2 linked regions of the Astyanax mexicanus genome follow. The protein of the gene in region 1 interacts with the protein of each later gene in a pairwise test. Links are inferred from orthologs where the notes say so. Each region holds a gene or a part of one and is shown on either strand. Other genes may lie near its edges. The genes, in order: prkcz and pard6a.

Evidence for each region.
Region 2: the proteins of prkcz (region 1) and pard6a interact in binary tests that used the Homo sapiens proteins (3 or more experiments, as listed by UniProt). The link is inferred for Astyanax mexicanus from reciprocal best matches to the Homo sapiens genes PRKCZ and PARD6A.

Annotation. Positions count from the first base shown.
Region 1 is NC_064419.1:7,968,611-7,977,173, forward strand, and holds the start of prkcz (protein kinase C zeta type), read left to right. Parts: upstream 1-5,135; 5' UTR 5,136-5,581; coding exon 5,582-5,652; intron 5,653-8,563. Other genes in the region: uncharacterized protein si:ch211-150o23.3, read right to left, coding at 203-499, 733-1,047, 1,804-1,839, 2,952-2,985. UniProt on the Homo sapiens protein: Calcium- and diacylglycerol-independent serine/threonine-protein kinase that functions in phosphatidylinositol 3-kinase (PI3K) pathway and mitogen-activated protein (MAP) kinase cascade, and is involved in NF-kappa-B activation, mitogenic signaling, cell proliferation, cell polarity, inflammatory response and maintenance of long-term potentiation (LTP).
Region 2 is NC_064416.1:25,813,486-25,821,411, forward strand, and holds the start of pard6a (partitioning defective 6 homolog alpha), read right to left. Parts: upstream 3,366-7,926; 5' UTR 3,098-3,365; coding exon 3,035-3,097; intron 1-3,034. UniProt on the Homo sapiens protein: Adapter protein involved in asymmetrical cell division and cell polarization processes. Probably involved in the formation of epithelial tight junctions.

The sequences.
Region 1 (8,563 bases):
TGCCTCCATGTCCATCCGTGTCTCATCTTGTATCAAGGCTAAAGGTGCCCAACAGGGTATTAGAGCCTACTTTCAATTACAGTACAGTGTTCCCCAATAAACCTATCCTTTCACTCTATTAAGGAACATAAAATGACACTCAAAGCTCCAGCATTTATTGATTAACTTACTGGAAACTGAAGGTTCAATGAGCTTTACTTACAGACAGTAATGTTGATGATGTTGCTGGATGGCGAGTTGCCAGGGTTACCCTGGAGGCGGTAGAGGCAGCTGTAGCTGCCCTGGTGAGAGGTTTCCAGGTCAGACAGGGTCAGCTCCACTCGCGTCTGTCTGAAATCTGCCCGCTGCGTCACCAGAGGAGTGTCCACACCACTCTTATACAGGTAGAAATCAATAGGGTGCCGCCAGTAGGGGGCAGTGCAGGTGAAGAGGACAGCCTCTCCAGCTGAATACGCAGAGAAGGGGGACTGCATGGTCAGGGTGGGCGCAGGAAGTTTATCTGCAGAATAAAATGTAAGGTCACTGATTAGAGTTCAGTCCTGTTAAGACTGTTAACAAAGTGAGTCTTTCATACTGTATATTATCTTTATATCTTCAGAACTCCAGTGCTAATTGTTGGGATATAAGCTTCCTTTCCTTTCTAGCAACATAAGCCTCATAGCTCCAGTGCTAATTGGATCATAGATTCAGCACTAATTAGTGGGATATAAGCATCTATTGCTTGTCTCTCACCTGTGCACTCCACTCCTGCATCTTCGTTGTGTAAACACACTCCATCGTTGGTGGTGCGCTCGCACAGGTCCAGTGTGAACTCGTCCCCTGAGCACCCGACGTTCCTCCACCACACCTCCCCGATGGATCGGCTGTAGTGTGCCCCCGGCCGTGTGGTGAAGGCGAAGCCACAGTCCAGCTCTCTGCACACCACTGCTGCATCCCGCAGATCCCACCCCTGAGAACACACTGTGCCCCACCGCTCACCTATAAACACCTCCACACGGCCAGAGCAGCGGGACCCCTCCACACTGCCCAGCCTCACCCGCAACTCATCTAGAGACAGAGACAGAGATAGAGAGAGAGAGAGCGCGAGAGAGGGAGAAAGAGACAGAGAGAGGTTACTACACAATCCAGCATTGAAGATCACACTAATAACAGATTACACTAATTCTAGAGTTTGAAGTGGAAAGAACTCTGGTGTAAAATTGACTTTGGGTGTAGTAAAACATGATAAAGAGTACTAACCTCTGTTGAATAGCACACCTCCGCTCTCCTACACCTTTCAGCGATCCAGTAATTTTGTACGGTTTCTCCAAACATGCTTTAGAATGGATGATATGGGGCATATTTTTAGGTTAGGTTATGCTATGGGTTGTGCACAGTGGTTTTAATAAGCTTCTTGCGCACTTTCAAAGTTATTAATGCCTCCTTTAAAATGTCAGAGCTCTCCGGATTCTAACAATAAGGTGTGGAGCTACTTTGAGCCTGAATAACGGTGTAAAAAGTGATTTATCTGCAGGGGCAAAATATGTTTGGAGAAACTGCACAAAATTACTGGATCTCAGAAAGCTGTGGGAGAGTGGAGGTGGACTATTTTCATGTTTTACTACAAAGCACCTGATCTTTTCTGTATAGCTGCAACAGAACTGCTGTAGGAGAGCAGGCAGGTTCTGCATCACATGTTCACTACACAAAGAATCTACTGGAGAACAGTGATGGAAAGGGAAACTGGAACAGCATTTGGTTTCATATCTCTGACCTGTCCTCTATTAGTGCTGTTGTGTTGGTTGTGTACAGTGATCAACTTACCGAACCCCAGAACGTTCCAGACAGAGACTTGTCCGACTGTTCAAAAAGAAAAAAGAAGATACAAACTGTTATGCATCAAAATAAATATTGGACTAGTATATTCTTCAAATTAATAATATACTTATTAATCTCCAAGAATATCATGAACATTACATAGATATTTTTAGCAACACCAGAAATTCATGCATTAGATGACAGTGTACAAAGAACTACCAGAAGGTACGGTGTGTATAAAAACAGTGTTGTATTAATAAACCAACTGTGCACTTTCAAAGATCTCATTGCCTTATTTTATTTTATTTTTACCCCCAAAAAATTAAGAAAAGCAACAAGAGATTAACAATTTAGAACTGACAGTATCTATTTCAAATTGAAAGATCTCTTGCAAGGCTTTGTGTATCCTCTTCCAGTAATTTAATACTGGGGCAGTGCCAAAAAATATATGGTAATGGATAGCATTTAGATTTCCATAGTTTCTCCAGCACACTGGGGGGTTTTTATCATACAATTGGGTATAAAACTTCATTGTTTCATTTTTGTTCCATTTACTTTGGTGAGAAAGATACTGATCTGTTTTTCAGTCTTTAGTTTTTCATTTCTCCCTTTCACTAACAAAATAAAAAAAAGTGATCTAAATTATTTTTAATGATTTTTCAATTTGTGTATCTTGTAACAGTAATCTGATAGTATAAAGGAACTTACTTTTGTTACAAAATGTAAAAATCTAAAAATTAAGAAAGATTTTTTATTTTCCCTGAAATTCTAAAGTTATATATATATATATAAACTTCTTCTATACTACACTATATGGTAAAAATGAAAAAGATAAGTAAATAAGTAAGTTATGTTAGCGAAACGCAGAAATGAAAAACTAAAGATAGGAAAACCAGATCAGTTTCTTCTAAAAAATTAAATAATGAAGTTTTATACCAATTGTTAATGAAAATTTTAGCCTGAAATGGTATGAAAATTAAACTGATAAATTTTACACTGACCAATAACCTGTATTACCACACAAAGTTTTAAAGATATTTAGAGCTGAGAAATCTCCTATAAAACAGAAGATCTCTGAGTCTGAGATAAAAACAGGAGCAGTGTTAAATGATCGAATTTGATGAAGGAGAGCAGGCTGAGTTAACGCTACTGACCCAGCAGAGCTGTGAGCAGCACAATCATCTCCATCTCTGATCCATAAATTAGCGGGTTTAAGGTGTGAAACCCACAGGACCGCAGAACTGACCGGTCCAAACCTCCAGCCCGGACCCGAACCTCGCCCCGATCTTCTCTAATAATACAACATCTCCGACCTTCCCGAGCTGCGGCATATTAGCTAGCTAGGTTAGCTAGCCAGCATGCTAAGCTCTGCTGCTCTGAAGAGATGCAGTGAAAGCTTAAGCTAAGCTAACCTAGCTAGCCTGTGTGCTAACTTTACCTCAGCTCTGAGGTAAAACAAAAACTCAAACAGCGAAAATATCGATTATTATCCCACAACACAAACTATCCGTCCCGCACAGCCTCCAGCAGCTCGGGGATATCAGATATAATCGATATTAAACCTGATTACAGGTGTAGTTAAATATTCTCACAGGCAGGTTTAGCGGCTAGCAAAACTAATCTGAGGGAAAAGCTCTAAAAAAAGCGCCTCAGTCTTAAAGCTGTACTCTCCCTCTAATCCACACCTGTGTGTGTGTGTGTGTGTGTGTGTGTGTGTGTGTGTGTGTGTGGGCATTGTGTTCCTAAAATACTTCCACGATATTTTAGGGTATTTTTGCTATAAAAATATTTTTGGCGATATGATTTTTACTAATTTACTAATTAATACTAATTTTTTACTTACATTATACTAATTAATTTTAAGAATATATTACTGGGAAAAAAATATTAAGAGAATTTTAGAGTTTTATACATTTGAAGCAAAAACATTAATACTAACTTTACCTTAACATTTTATTTTATATTTAAAAAAAAAATACTAAAATAGTGTAACAAAATGAAAAAAAAAAACATAAATAATGTAACAACAAACTAATTCAGTCACAGCTGAATTTTTAGTACTTGCATAAAAAAACGTTTTCATAATGTTAATAATTGTCTAGAAATGTGAGAAACGTTATAATTATGTTGCGATACAATTTTTTTTTGACATTTTAATGTCACATGTTACATAATAACCTTTCCAAAACCTTTTTAAAACGACCAGTAGGGTAAAGTGTGCCATATTGCAATATATCATGATTCAGTTATACTGTGATATCAGCTGTATTTTGTTTTGAAAGCAGTCTACTCTGTATTTGTTTTGCTTTTTAAGCTTTAAAAGTTTTTACTGTAAAATATATTAATCCTAACACACACCTTCTGTTTTGAAAGGGCTGCTGAATCTTACTCAGCCTGCAGGTGGCGCCAAAACACCAGCCTTTCAGCTTTCAGTCAGTAAAGCAGGTAAATGCGTATGAAACAAAAATAATTGGATTACAAATAACTAAAGAAAATGCCACAATAATAATAATAATAATAATAATAATAATAATAATTTTTATCCTCCATATTTATATTGTTATGTCTGTTAGACCCTACACCAAAAAGTTAGGTTTATTAGTGAAGGCTGTGGTTCTACATGGATTAATGACAACTAAAACAACTATTTCAACGTCTGACTGGTTCTTTGCCTTATTATAATTTTTTTTACTAATAAAAAGTAAACAAACAAAATAAATAATTCTAGTATAATGTGGTGGAACTTGGACACATAACATATATTGAACTTTCTCCGACCCAATCCCAGAATGTTCTGACTTAGGCTCAGAAACTTTTACGTAAATACAGAATATACACTCATAAATACTCCACTGTAATTGTAAAGTGCATTTACACTTTTCTTACTTTATGTTTATTTGGATATAGTATTCTAATGTTATCTAGAGGTTATTACAGGTAGACACTCACTGGTCACTGACTTTATGTTTATTTGGGTTTAGTGTTATAATGTTATGTAGAGTTAATTACAAGTAGACACTCTCACTGGTCACTGACTTTATGTTTATTTGGGTTCAGTATTCTAGTGTTATATAAAGTTAATTACAGGAAGACACTCTAACTGACCACTGACTTTATGTTTATTTGCGTTTAGTATCATAATGTTATATAGAGTTAGGTACAGGTAGATACTCTTACTGATCACTTAATTTATTCTTGTTTGGGTTTATTGTTATTGTTTTATTGTTTTATATGTTATATAAAAATAATTACAGGTAGACACTCACTGACCACTGACTTGATGTTTATTTGGGTTTATTATAATGTTATATAGAGTTAATTACAGGTAGACACTCTCACTGACCAGTGACTTTATTTATACATCACTAGCAGGATTTTTAAGTTAATTGAAGGTAAGTGGATTATCACAGTGTTAGCCACTGTGAGACTGGAAGTGTGTGAGGGGTGTGTGTGAGTGTGTAAGTAATCCCGTTGCTCTGTTTAGGGAGGGTGAGTGTCCGTACCCGGAGCGCGCAGGTCGGTCATGGGAAGCGCGTGCACGCGCACTACCAGCACAATAAACCCAACAGGTGTGTGTATGGGTGTGTGTGAGTGTGTGTGTGTATGGGAGTGTGTGTGTTTGTAGGCAGCCCCGGGTCCAGCAGTGGGGTCAGCGGGGCGCTGTGGGAGCTGTAGCCGGACTTGGAGCCTCACAGCCCGGCCAACTGCCCCTAGGAGCCCCGGCAGGTTAGCGCGGATAGTTGGCGGAGACTCCTTTAGCAGCACCGGGAAGAAGACGGCGAACATGCCGGTCAGAAACGGCTCCATGATGGAAATACATGAGGAATATGTGAAGATAAAGGCTCATTACGGAGGGTATGTTTACTTTTAACTTGTTTAAAAAGCTTAAGTTTGCTTTTTATTTCTAACTCTCCAGTCCACCTTAAATGGTGCAGCATAACACTATAACCCCCGAAGCGTCTGAACGTAAACTGATGCACTATTTAAGGTGGAACGGGGAGTTCCAAAAAAAAAAAGTTTTCAACTTTTTTTTTTTAGCTAAATTTAATATAACGTAATAGTGTTAATTACTGACTGTAGATTAAAATAGACAGGTTGTAATATTTATTTGAACCAGTTAAATAAGCTCATCTGTAGTTTACTGGATAAACTGAACACTTCTTTTCTGAACTCTACAGCTAGCCTGCTAACTCTGTTATCTTTTCTTCCTCCCTTCCCTTTTAAAAGCTGAACTTATCTCCTCTTATCTTCTTGAGAAACACTTCATTTAAGCTCCAGCTCTCTCTGCTTGCTTTACTCAGCCTTAGGCCCAGTGCCTGCCTAATGAAACAGAACCGGTTGCCAGGTCTGTCTCCTTCCAGTTCAGAGGCTTAACTGTTAATTTATTTATTTACACCTTCAGAGCTCTCCTGTAATGATCTGAGCAACTTTTCCTGAAGTTAGTCATTAAGACAGATTGTTACCTAACTCCATCACTGGTCATGTGGGGGAGCCTGTCATGGAGAAATTTCACAGGGGTGTGTTATTTAATAGGGCAATGCCATACATATCTAATCACTATAATTTTTTACTTTTTATTTCCTGTCATGGAGGCGTCCACCCTGTTATGACAAACTGCGGGATAGACGATTTTAGTTAAAATTGCTAGAGCTGAAACCGAGCTGTTAAACTGTTCATAGTGACCTTGTTTTGTTTTAAAGATAATTTTGATCTCAAAAATAGTTTATAAAAATTACCATGATATGTAGGGAGACAATATGAGAGTTATTAAGTGAAATAAATCTTATTAATTGCTGAACATGCAGCAGCAAGTGATTTCAGTACCTTGAAAATAAACAGTGTGAATGTTGTGATGCCACTGAGGTCAAATGCCTAAATAATTAAGAACATGTTTAAATAAAATAAGAAATACGTTATTTAACGACCTAAAAGAATTACTGTTTCAGCTCCACCCATTTTAAGTTAAAGAAGTGTTGCAGCATAGACTTCTTCATGGATGTAGTAGAGAGGTGAGTTAATTAGTGTATCTGCTTGTTTTGTTTGTAAAGTGGAGAGACATCACTGAAATATGGCGTTGGAAGAGGAACTGGGTTTGGGAGCTGAGGGCTAAAAGAGAAGTGCAGAGATAAGGGTTGAGTAGGAGTTCAGGGTTGAGGAGCAGTTCAAGAATGAGGAGATAATGGTTGAGGAACTCATGTTTGAAAAACTCAGTGGTGTGGAGGAGCAAAGGGGTTAGGAGCTCATTAAGGAGCTTATAGTTTAGGAGCCCAGGCCTCAGTTGGAGCTCAGGATTTGGAACTCAATATTAAAGGGGAGATCAGGATTGAATAAGAGCTCAGTGTTGAAGTGAACCTCAGGGTTGAGAAGCTCAGGGATGAGGAGGAGATCAGGGTAAAGGAGCTCAGGAGGGAAGAGCTCAGGGTTGAAAACTGAAAAATGAAGTGCTTAGCGTTAAAGAGGAGATCAGGGATGAGAAAGAAGGAGCTTAGGAGTGAGGAGCTTGGAAATGAGAAACTCAGGGTTGAGGAGTTGCTGAGGTTTGAGGAGATGCTCATGGCAGAGTAAGAGCTCAGGGTTAAGGAGATGCTCAGGGTTGAGGAGATGCTCAGGGTTAAGGAGGTGCTCAGGGTTGAGGAGATGCTCAGGGTTGAGGAGGTGCTCAGGGTTAACCAGGGTCTCAGCATTGAGGAGGAGCTCAGTGTTCAGGAACAGCTTAGGATTGAAGAAATCATGGGTGTGGAGGAGCTCAGGCTTCAGGAGGAGCTCAGGAGATAAAAACTGCGTGTGTGTGTGTGCCTGTGTGTTGCTGCCTCGTCTCACACACACTATAAGTCTGTCAGTTGCCTAGCAACCAGAACTGAACCCAGAAGATCCCAGAGAGTTCTCTCGCCTGTATATTTTGTCTAGTTGTGTGTGTTTAGTCTGTTTCACACTGTTAGACCGAGTTAAACCTATTTATTTAAACCAAGTTGATCAGAATTCAACTTTCAGAAGAGTGAAGTGAATCTAAATTAAAATGAGTTAAACCAAGCTAAACAGAGTTACGCTGAGTAAGAATTGAGTCACACTGAGTTAAAAGTTAAACTGAAATATTTATATTACCTTCTTCTTATATTTATCTTCACCTTCTTTACTTTTACTTTCTATACCTTGCTGAAACCACTGGCCAGTGATTGGAATCAAAGATGTTTGTAATAATAAAATAAAGTGCTCAGAGAGAGAAAGCACAAGGTGGGGTGTTTCTGATAAAGTGGCCAGGTGTGTGTAAAAGACTGTGTTGTTTGTCATATTCCAGTCTGATGTAAATTCCTGTGGAGCTGTAAAGTGTGTAATGATTAATCTAGGTGGGGGGGGGGAGGGGGAGGGCTGGTTTATGATATGATAGTAAAGTTATAAATACTCAGGAAATTCCTGGTTTGAGGCCGCAGAAAGGCCTCAGTATCAGGAGTCTGTAATTTATCTGTAATTTCTGTTTCGTTCTGTGGACTTTTAACCCTGTAGCTCCGTCTACTAAATTGCCAGAAATGTACTGATCACCTATGATCAATAACTGATCACCTATGATCAATAACTGATCACCTATGATCAATAACTGATCAACTGAGATCAGTAACTGACTAACTGACATAAAAAAATAACCAGATGACATTGATAACTGATCAGTTGCTATCAATTACTGATCACCTGTGGTCAATAACTGATCAGCTGCTATCAATAACTGATCAGCTGAGATCAGTAACTGACTAACTGAGTGTTACATTGGTAA
Region 2 (7,926 bases), on another chromosome or scaffold:
TCTACTATTTACTGCCTTCAGACAATATTTCGAAAGTCAGACCCGGCCGTCTGCCCACATCCGACTCCAGCCCTTGTCTGTCTGAAGTGGCACCGACCACAGCAAGACCTCTAATTTTATAAGATACGAGAAAACAACGAGAAAAATGCTGAATTTTTGCTTCTCCTATTCTTAGCTTTCACGCAGTTCTCATGGTGTGCTGGTCTGACATTCCTTCGGTAGGGAGAGCGACACACCACAGTGAGCCTGGCTGCTGCTTTCCTTTTTGAAATTCTTGGGGTAAACACAACAAACACAACATGTGCAAAAACACCATGGTCAGCAGCAGCTTGTGGTTAAAAAAAATCAAAGCTCTAAAACAGCAATAAGACTAAATGACCAATTCTTCCATCCGTTTATCATGAAAGTTTCACCTCATTGTAAATTGCAGATGAACGTTTTCACTGTATTGATCAATACAGATGTTTAAAACTTCAGCATAATTAAATGGTTATTTTCTGAGAAATTTGATTTGAGGTTGAACACTGTCTAGCATGCTCAGATGAGAAAGGTGACATTAATTACCATATTTTGAAGGGGGTGTAATAGTGGATGCTAGATGGATGGGATATTCAGTTTGGAAGTTGTTCAGGCATTTAACAATTCACAATGTCACCTCTGTAGATAAACACTTAATAAGGCATTACCACCCACAGTAGACAGCCCAAGGGTGGTAATGAACTTGGCCAGTAATATCTGGGGAGAACTGTCAATGAACAGACATACAATTTGGCAGTCTTGGGCATTCTGGAAAAAAGTGGCATGTTACTGTATAAATAATGTCATCCAGCACGACTTGGTGTGTAATACTCTGGTTTAGAGAGCTCACCAGATCTAAATCAGTTAAAACTTATCAAAGAACAATTTCTTAAAATCCACATAAATACATTAATGACTGAGGCACTGTTTACCAACAGTTGTGAGGTTAGATTTGTGACTTTAAATGTACCATTTAATCCACTTACATTGTAGAATTTCACTCTCAGGCAATTCAGTCCCCTAAAACCTTTTCTAACAGATATGCTGTAGGGTTGGGTTATTAATCGAAAAATAATCAATACTGACATTATAAACCTCTGACCGTATCAACCTTTTCTTTTAAAACATTCTGTTACTGTTGTTACTAATACCTTCCTCACTGCCTGTGTGTTTATGTACTCATAAGACTCCACAAAGATAAATCTGCTATGGAAGCCACAATCATCATAATCAGTCATCACTACATATGACACTCAGGAGACTCATTGGTGTGAAGGTCCATTGGTCATTTCAGGTAGTTAAAAAACAGCTTTATTTCAACTGAATCCTATGGGTGTAAGAAAATTATGTCAATATGTCAAAGTAGCACAATATTATGTTTGGCAATACTGTATCGATACTAAACACTGAGATATGTAAAGTTTGGTGTCAGACACTGTTTTTTCACTGCGTTTAAACCATCTGTACTGTCCTTATTGGATAAAAAAGACACCCAAAACAATTTAAAGAAAGCATAGCTACCCAGCGTTGATATAAAAGCTAAAAGACACCTGTGCAGCTGACCAAACATCACAGTGAGAGTCAGGTGACAAGAAAGTGTCATCTTCTCACGGCTGAGAGAATAAGACCATTTGTGCTCTTTCGGATACCGGCTGCTGATGGCAAGCAGTGTGATCCAGGAGTCAGACACTGTTTTTTGCACTGTGTTTTAGTAGATAGCCTGGCCTGAGATCCCTACTGCTCTTATTGAATAAAAAGGGCATGTATATATGTATATATGTATATATGTATATATATATATATATATATATATATATATATATATATATATATATATATATATACATATATATAAATAATTGTATATATGTGTCTAATTGTATCATCAGAATTGTGCCAGCCCGTGCTCTCAGCCCTACTCCCGTGCTCCCTTAGCTGTGAAGAAGCTTGGCTTCTCCATCACCACCAGTGTAAAGACTGGGTAAGACTGGTAGGGGGGGAGCATGTGACCAGTCAACAACAGCCTGGGTTTGTTTACACACGAGAGTATCAGTGTCATAGCGAAGACACTGACATCCAGCCACGGTTTACTTGCGAAATGTGTAAAATTCGGACACTACATCAAACAGTGGAAGACACGTAGGGTACCATTTCACAGTCGAGTGTGTACCCGGGGCTACAGCTTTCTATAGGCGGCAGTTCGGTGTCCATGCTCTGTGTGTGTGTGATGTCCTCGCAGTGCTGACCCTCATCGTTGCTGTATACGGGCAGTGGTTTGATGGCAGGTGGGCAGAATCAGACGGATGGTTGATATTTTACCGCACCGCTGCACGGTGTCCAACATGCATAATTGATCACCGGGGCCCGGTCGCTTCACTGCGCACGAGCGTCCATAGCATCGAGCGTGCGCACACACACACACACACACACACACACACTGCACCAGCACTGCGCTCCACCACCGGGGGGTGTTCTGTCGAGTTGTGCTACCCATCGATACGTGCTTCCTAAAGGCACTGCGCATGCGCTGATCTACACTTTTTATTTCTTTATCGTGTTTCTTTTGTTTATTAAAAAAAATCTATAAAAAATATAACTCACTGTCATTGCAGAAGTGTAGATGGAAACTAATAATAATAAAAAATACAATTATTATTATTTAAAAAAAAATAAGAAAAAGCTGTTTATAATAACCTCTCTTTGTCATGACTTTACCATGATACAGTGATTTATGCTATCCAAATAAACTACCCTACTAACCCACACCTACTGGTAACATGCTGTAGTAAGGTGCTCATTTAATGTTTTTACAGTTAAATATATACTAGGGTAGCACGGTCTGATAAGGTAGCAAAACTTGACAGAACACCGGAGCCCGAGCCGCTCAACTTGGGCTCAAGCCAAACACATTTGTCGTCTTGCACCTAGCACACACACACACACACGCGCACACGCACATGCACGGACACCTAGCTGTACGCACGGGTTCGGGCGCGCACGACTGAGACACACTTACTTTGCTCTTCACCTCCACCACGGTGTCCGTGCTCTTCAGCGGCGTCCTCTGGTTCCTCGACATCGTTAGTAGTGTGTGTGTGTGTGTGTGTTTGTGTGTATTCCAGTCACGGCTCGTTCCGCTCTCTCTCTAAATCCCTACAGAAGGCAGCGCGGAGGGCGCGCGCTCGCTCTCAGCAGCAGTAGTAGCGGCGGTGTTGAGAGCAGCATGGATGGATGGGTGTCTGTCTGTCTGGGAGCGGAGGGCGGGAGGGCGCGCGCAGCTCTGTTCGATCCGCAGTACTGGCGGGCAGCGCGAGCTCTACCGTTAGAGGCTGCTGCTCCCGGAGTGGGCGGCGCCCGTTCCCCTTCAATAACAATGACGTAAGCACCCACGCCGTCCCGCCCACGGTAAAGGCACGCCCGCACGAGGAACGTCACCGCCAGGGAGCAGGCCAGGTAGTAGTATCAGCACTTAATAAATAAATAATATATAAAAAAAAAATTCTGATATTCTTTTACATTTAGATTTTTTTTGGTTTACCTTGTTAGACAGGGTTTATCAAACTCAATCCAACCACCCAATCAAAACCTTTTTATTACAATTTCTATACTACAAATGCAAATAAATTGCTATTTCAAATGTTTGAATGTGTGCTTGGTCAGAATATTAACCAAATAAAAAAACTGCAGTCACAAATAAATACATAAATAAATTAATGTATTAATTAACTAATTAACTAGTACTAGCACTTGTTACTAATGTGAAAAATAAATAAACAAACAAATACACTGCCTGGCCAAAAAAAGTCAGCACCAAAAAAAGGTCACACACTAATATTGTTTCCATAAGCTTCTGCAATGTCACAAGACTTATTTCAATCCAGTTTTGCATTAATTTTTTACCAACATTTTGCATTGATTACTATATAACAAATTTGTTTATTTGCTTATATTAAAGAGGTTTCATAATCAGATTAAGGGTGCTTTCACACCTGAAAGTCCGGACCGTGGTCCGAACCAAGGTTCATGTGTTGCTACATTGTATATATTTGGTCCGCTTATTTTTGTTTTCACACTGCAGTTTAGGGAGCGCACCAAAGACCTTTGTGTGATACTCCTACATCCTTTCATCACTTACGTATCGATGCGTTTTCCTTAACTTGACGCTGATTGGTTTTGGAAGGACATGCGTCTGACGACAATTGATTGATAATTCAGCGGGTGGTTCATTCGATGGAAAGCCTTTCCAGGATAAGGATGAAATTAATGAACAGATTAATTTCGTCTACATAGTAGTGCTGCTATTGTGGTTTTTATACCAGCAGCAGCAACTTCAGGCACAGTACTCTAGGTTAGTTCAAATTCGCTAAACGAACGTGCTTGTCCTGAAGCAACTGTATCCACGGCTCATTTTTCCTGCTTTTCCGGTTATTTTGAGAGGGTACTGACTGCAGCCTGCAGGAAGGCGGAGTTAGACGTCCAGTGCGTCCAGCTCCGCCCACTTTGTAAGCGTCATGCCGTCTAGTCCCGCCCACTTTGTTAGCGTCATGCCGTCCAGTCCCGCCCCTGTACGGAAGTAAACAATGTACAGGGCAGTTAGCGGACTTTAAATATAATGTGCCGCGTCGTACGGCTTAAATACTGTGTATACATTACAACCTTGCGAGACTGACAAGGCGTGGCGTGGACAAAGTGGGTGGGACTAGACGCGCTGGACGTCCAACTCCGCCTTCCCGCAGGATGCAGTCAGTAGTAGCTGGTTATTTTTCTTTTCTGCTGCCGTTGCTGAGGAACGCCTGCTCAGCTTCCTGTAATTGGTCCGAAATTTCGAACCATCCAGAAAAGCGCTTTCACACTGCAGGCGAACTGGACCATGGTTCAAAAGATCCGGACCGAGACCACCTCTCTTGGTCGGACCAAAATCTGGTCGGACGGTGGTTCGCGGCCCCTTTCACACCTGCTAATTTGGTTCGGACCAAACTAAAAAGTACGAAAGTCCGGACCAAGCGAGGCAGGTGTGAAAGCACCCTAAAAATAGCACTTGCTTAATTATCTGAATGCCCTTTCTGCAAGATTTAAAGCAACGTGCAACCCTACACACATTTAAATGGGCTAACGTTTTAGGTTTTTTGTTAAAGCATTTTTCACCATTCACTACCAGAGGAAAAAGTTCATGCAAATCAAGCAGTTGCTTGGAGCTCTGGTCATAGGTCAAATACAACAGACATCAAACTGTGTAATTTTGTGTGGGCTTTGTTAGTGGATGAAATATCACTGATGTTGACATTAGCCCTCTAAATATGCCAGTAGATGAGCATCAACAATTTGTTTGGTTCTCTTTTAGAATAATTTTAGCTATAGTATGCCACTGTACAGTGCCCTTGTTTAATTTGGTGGAACTTAATGTAACTCCATCAGTTCGCCATCATGCAAAATATTGCCGTGTTCATGTGTTTCATCAAACAACAGTTGTTTGAAGGGCATGTATACAAACATGATTATCGAACCAACAATGCATTAAATAATGAATATCTAAAACAATAAAACTACATATATTAAATAATATTGTCCACGTGGCTCTGCAAAGCAAAATAAATTAAAATGAATTAAATTGCCAAAATATCACGTCCACATTGCATTGTGATAGGCGTATTGTGATGAGTACATAATGATGAGACATCTTTAAAATACAAGGAAGTCATGTGTATAGCGCTAAAAAAAGAAAAGTGGTTCATTATGGTATGATGTTCTGGACCTTGGATTTAGAAAACATTATTTTAACAGGACATTAATGAGAATTGATTAAATACTTTTGTTCTGTGGAGTCAGTCAAGGAAATCTTGGCAGTGTCTTCTTTTAAGAATGTAGGCCACAAGTAACAAATAAAAAAAGAATAAATAAAATCTGAATTAAAGTCACGCAGCAGCTTGTCTTAGGAATTCTGTCTGATTTGACATGAAAGTATCTCCTAGCTTAGTGATACATAAGTCAGCTCACTTCAAAACCTTCTCTCAGTTGTTTCTCACAGTGTCTATAGCTGGGAGAAGAGTGAAGTTTAAAATCGCACAACTGCTACTTTTAAATGTGCCAAACCTTTTGTTTATTGCAATGAGCATCAGTGCTTTTAAATTAGTTACACTGAAGAACATTTAATGTGACAAAATGTGAAAATAAAATATATGGAGCAGAAAGATACAATACTTTATGAAAGGGTTCTCAATCATCATGTTCATGTGGGGTTTACATGGGTGGAACATGGGCTAGGTGGGTTCAAGGTGGGCATGGCTCTGAGTGGGTGTTGATGTTTGAGATGGGTGAGATGTTTTTATTAGAACCCAAATGTACTTCAGAAATGAGCCACATCGTCACATCCCACCTTAAGAGGGCAGATGTTTAACCGCTCCTGGTCCCATCACTGACATCCATATGTGGGAACAACAAGGAACCTGTGGATAAAACTTTCTGCTTCCCAATCGGGCTACCCATACAGGCCCCACCTGGGCATGTTATCTGGGTTGTTTTTTATCATAGAGACAAGAACACTGTCTCATTCACACTCTTGTGACCATTCATGGAGGGACCTGCTCTGGAACACATTCCTCAGAACTAGCCCAAAATACCTGAACCACTTAATGGAGATGTCCTTCATTTCAGTACATATTGCTTACAGGACTGTGCATTACTAGCCTCTGTGAAGTGTAGTTGCTTAATAGATGTCATAGATTTCCCTTTCTTTAATATTCATATATATAGTTTTTTTTGTTCATCCATCTAAACTTATACAGTATAAACTTCACAAATGATGATTGGATAGTGCTGTATTGTATGTGTGGTTTCTTTATCACTTAGGCAACAAAGAATCAGAGAGAACTAATTTCTCTGATTCTCTGAAAGCACAAAGTTTGCTCATTACAGCCTTCAACAATAAAACAAGAAAAGCACAACGCAATCATATAACCAGATAGTAACCAGGAAGGTAGTTTGGTTAAGAAAACTCAATGCATTCATGTTTAGATGCAAAACATAATTAATAATATAATATAATATTTTTTTTTAGGTAAAATCAACAGCCACTCAAAACCATGTTTTTCAGTATTGGCTATATGAGTTATAATAATATTAAAAATGTGATGTCAGGGCTTAATTTAAAAATAATGAAATACCAGAACATGGATTGGTTCTCAATTCAATTTCCTGCAACAGGCCAAAAACATTTTATTCCCACCCAGTCCCACCCCACCCACTTCCTCTCTCAGCTCATCAACAAAGTCTTTATCATTAATAAGGACTTTTCGGAGAAGGTCACGGGTGCATGGACTGCCTCACAGGTTTGTTGAGTTTTCTTCTTGTCATTGTTGTCATGTGTCTGTCGGTCATGTCAGTAGTATGATGACCTGTTGCTTTGTTGTTTGACTTATCTCTACATCTTTCAGTTCTTTGTAGATTAGCCATTAGCATGTGCGCTCTCTGATCATAGACAGCAGGAAAAGGTTGTCTGGCCATGTGTGCAGGGTAATTACCTCACTCCTCAGTACACTCATGTATAAACAATTTCACCTGTCAAACCAGATCCTCCTCAGTGAACCCTGTTAAAGAGCGTGGTCAGTAATTAAAGGAAGAATGTACTCATCTTCAGTCATCTGTGAGCCTCTGGTGACTCATGGCATTTTCGTTCAAGGTAGGCCCTTTTTTTCTTTTCTTTTTTGAGAACGTGGATTTGTTTACATCATTTTTATTTCTTGTAAATGTTTACTCTTGAGGACAGTTTCCTGTAATTGTCTGAACGCACTGTTCCGTTACCCTCACTGCTAAAGTTTTAGAGCACATACAAGGTTTCGTCCAAACAGAAGAGCATGTTAGGTGTGAGTTCGGTGAGAGAGTCTTGGTTTCCAGCTGTAGAGGTGAAGGATG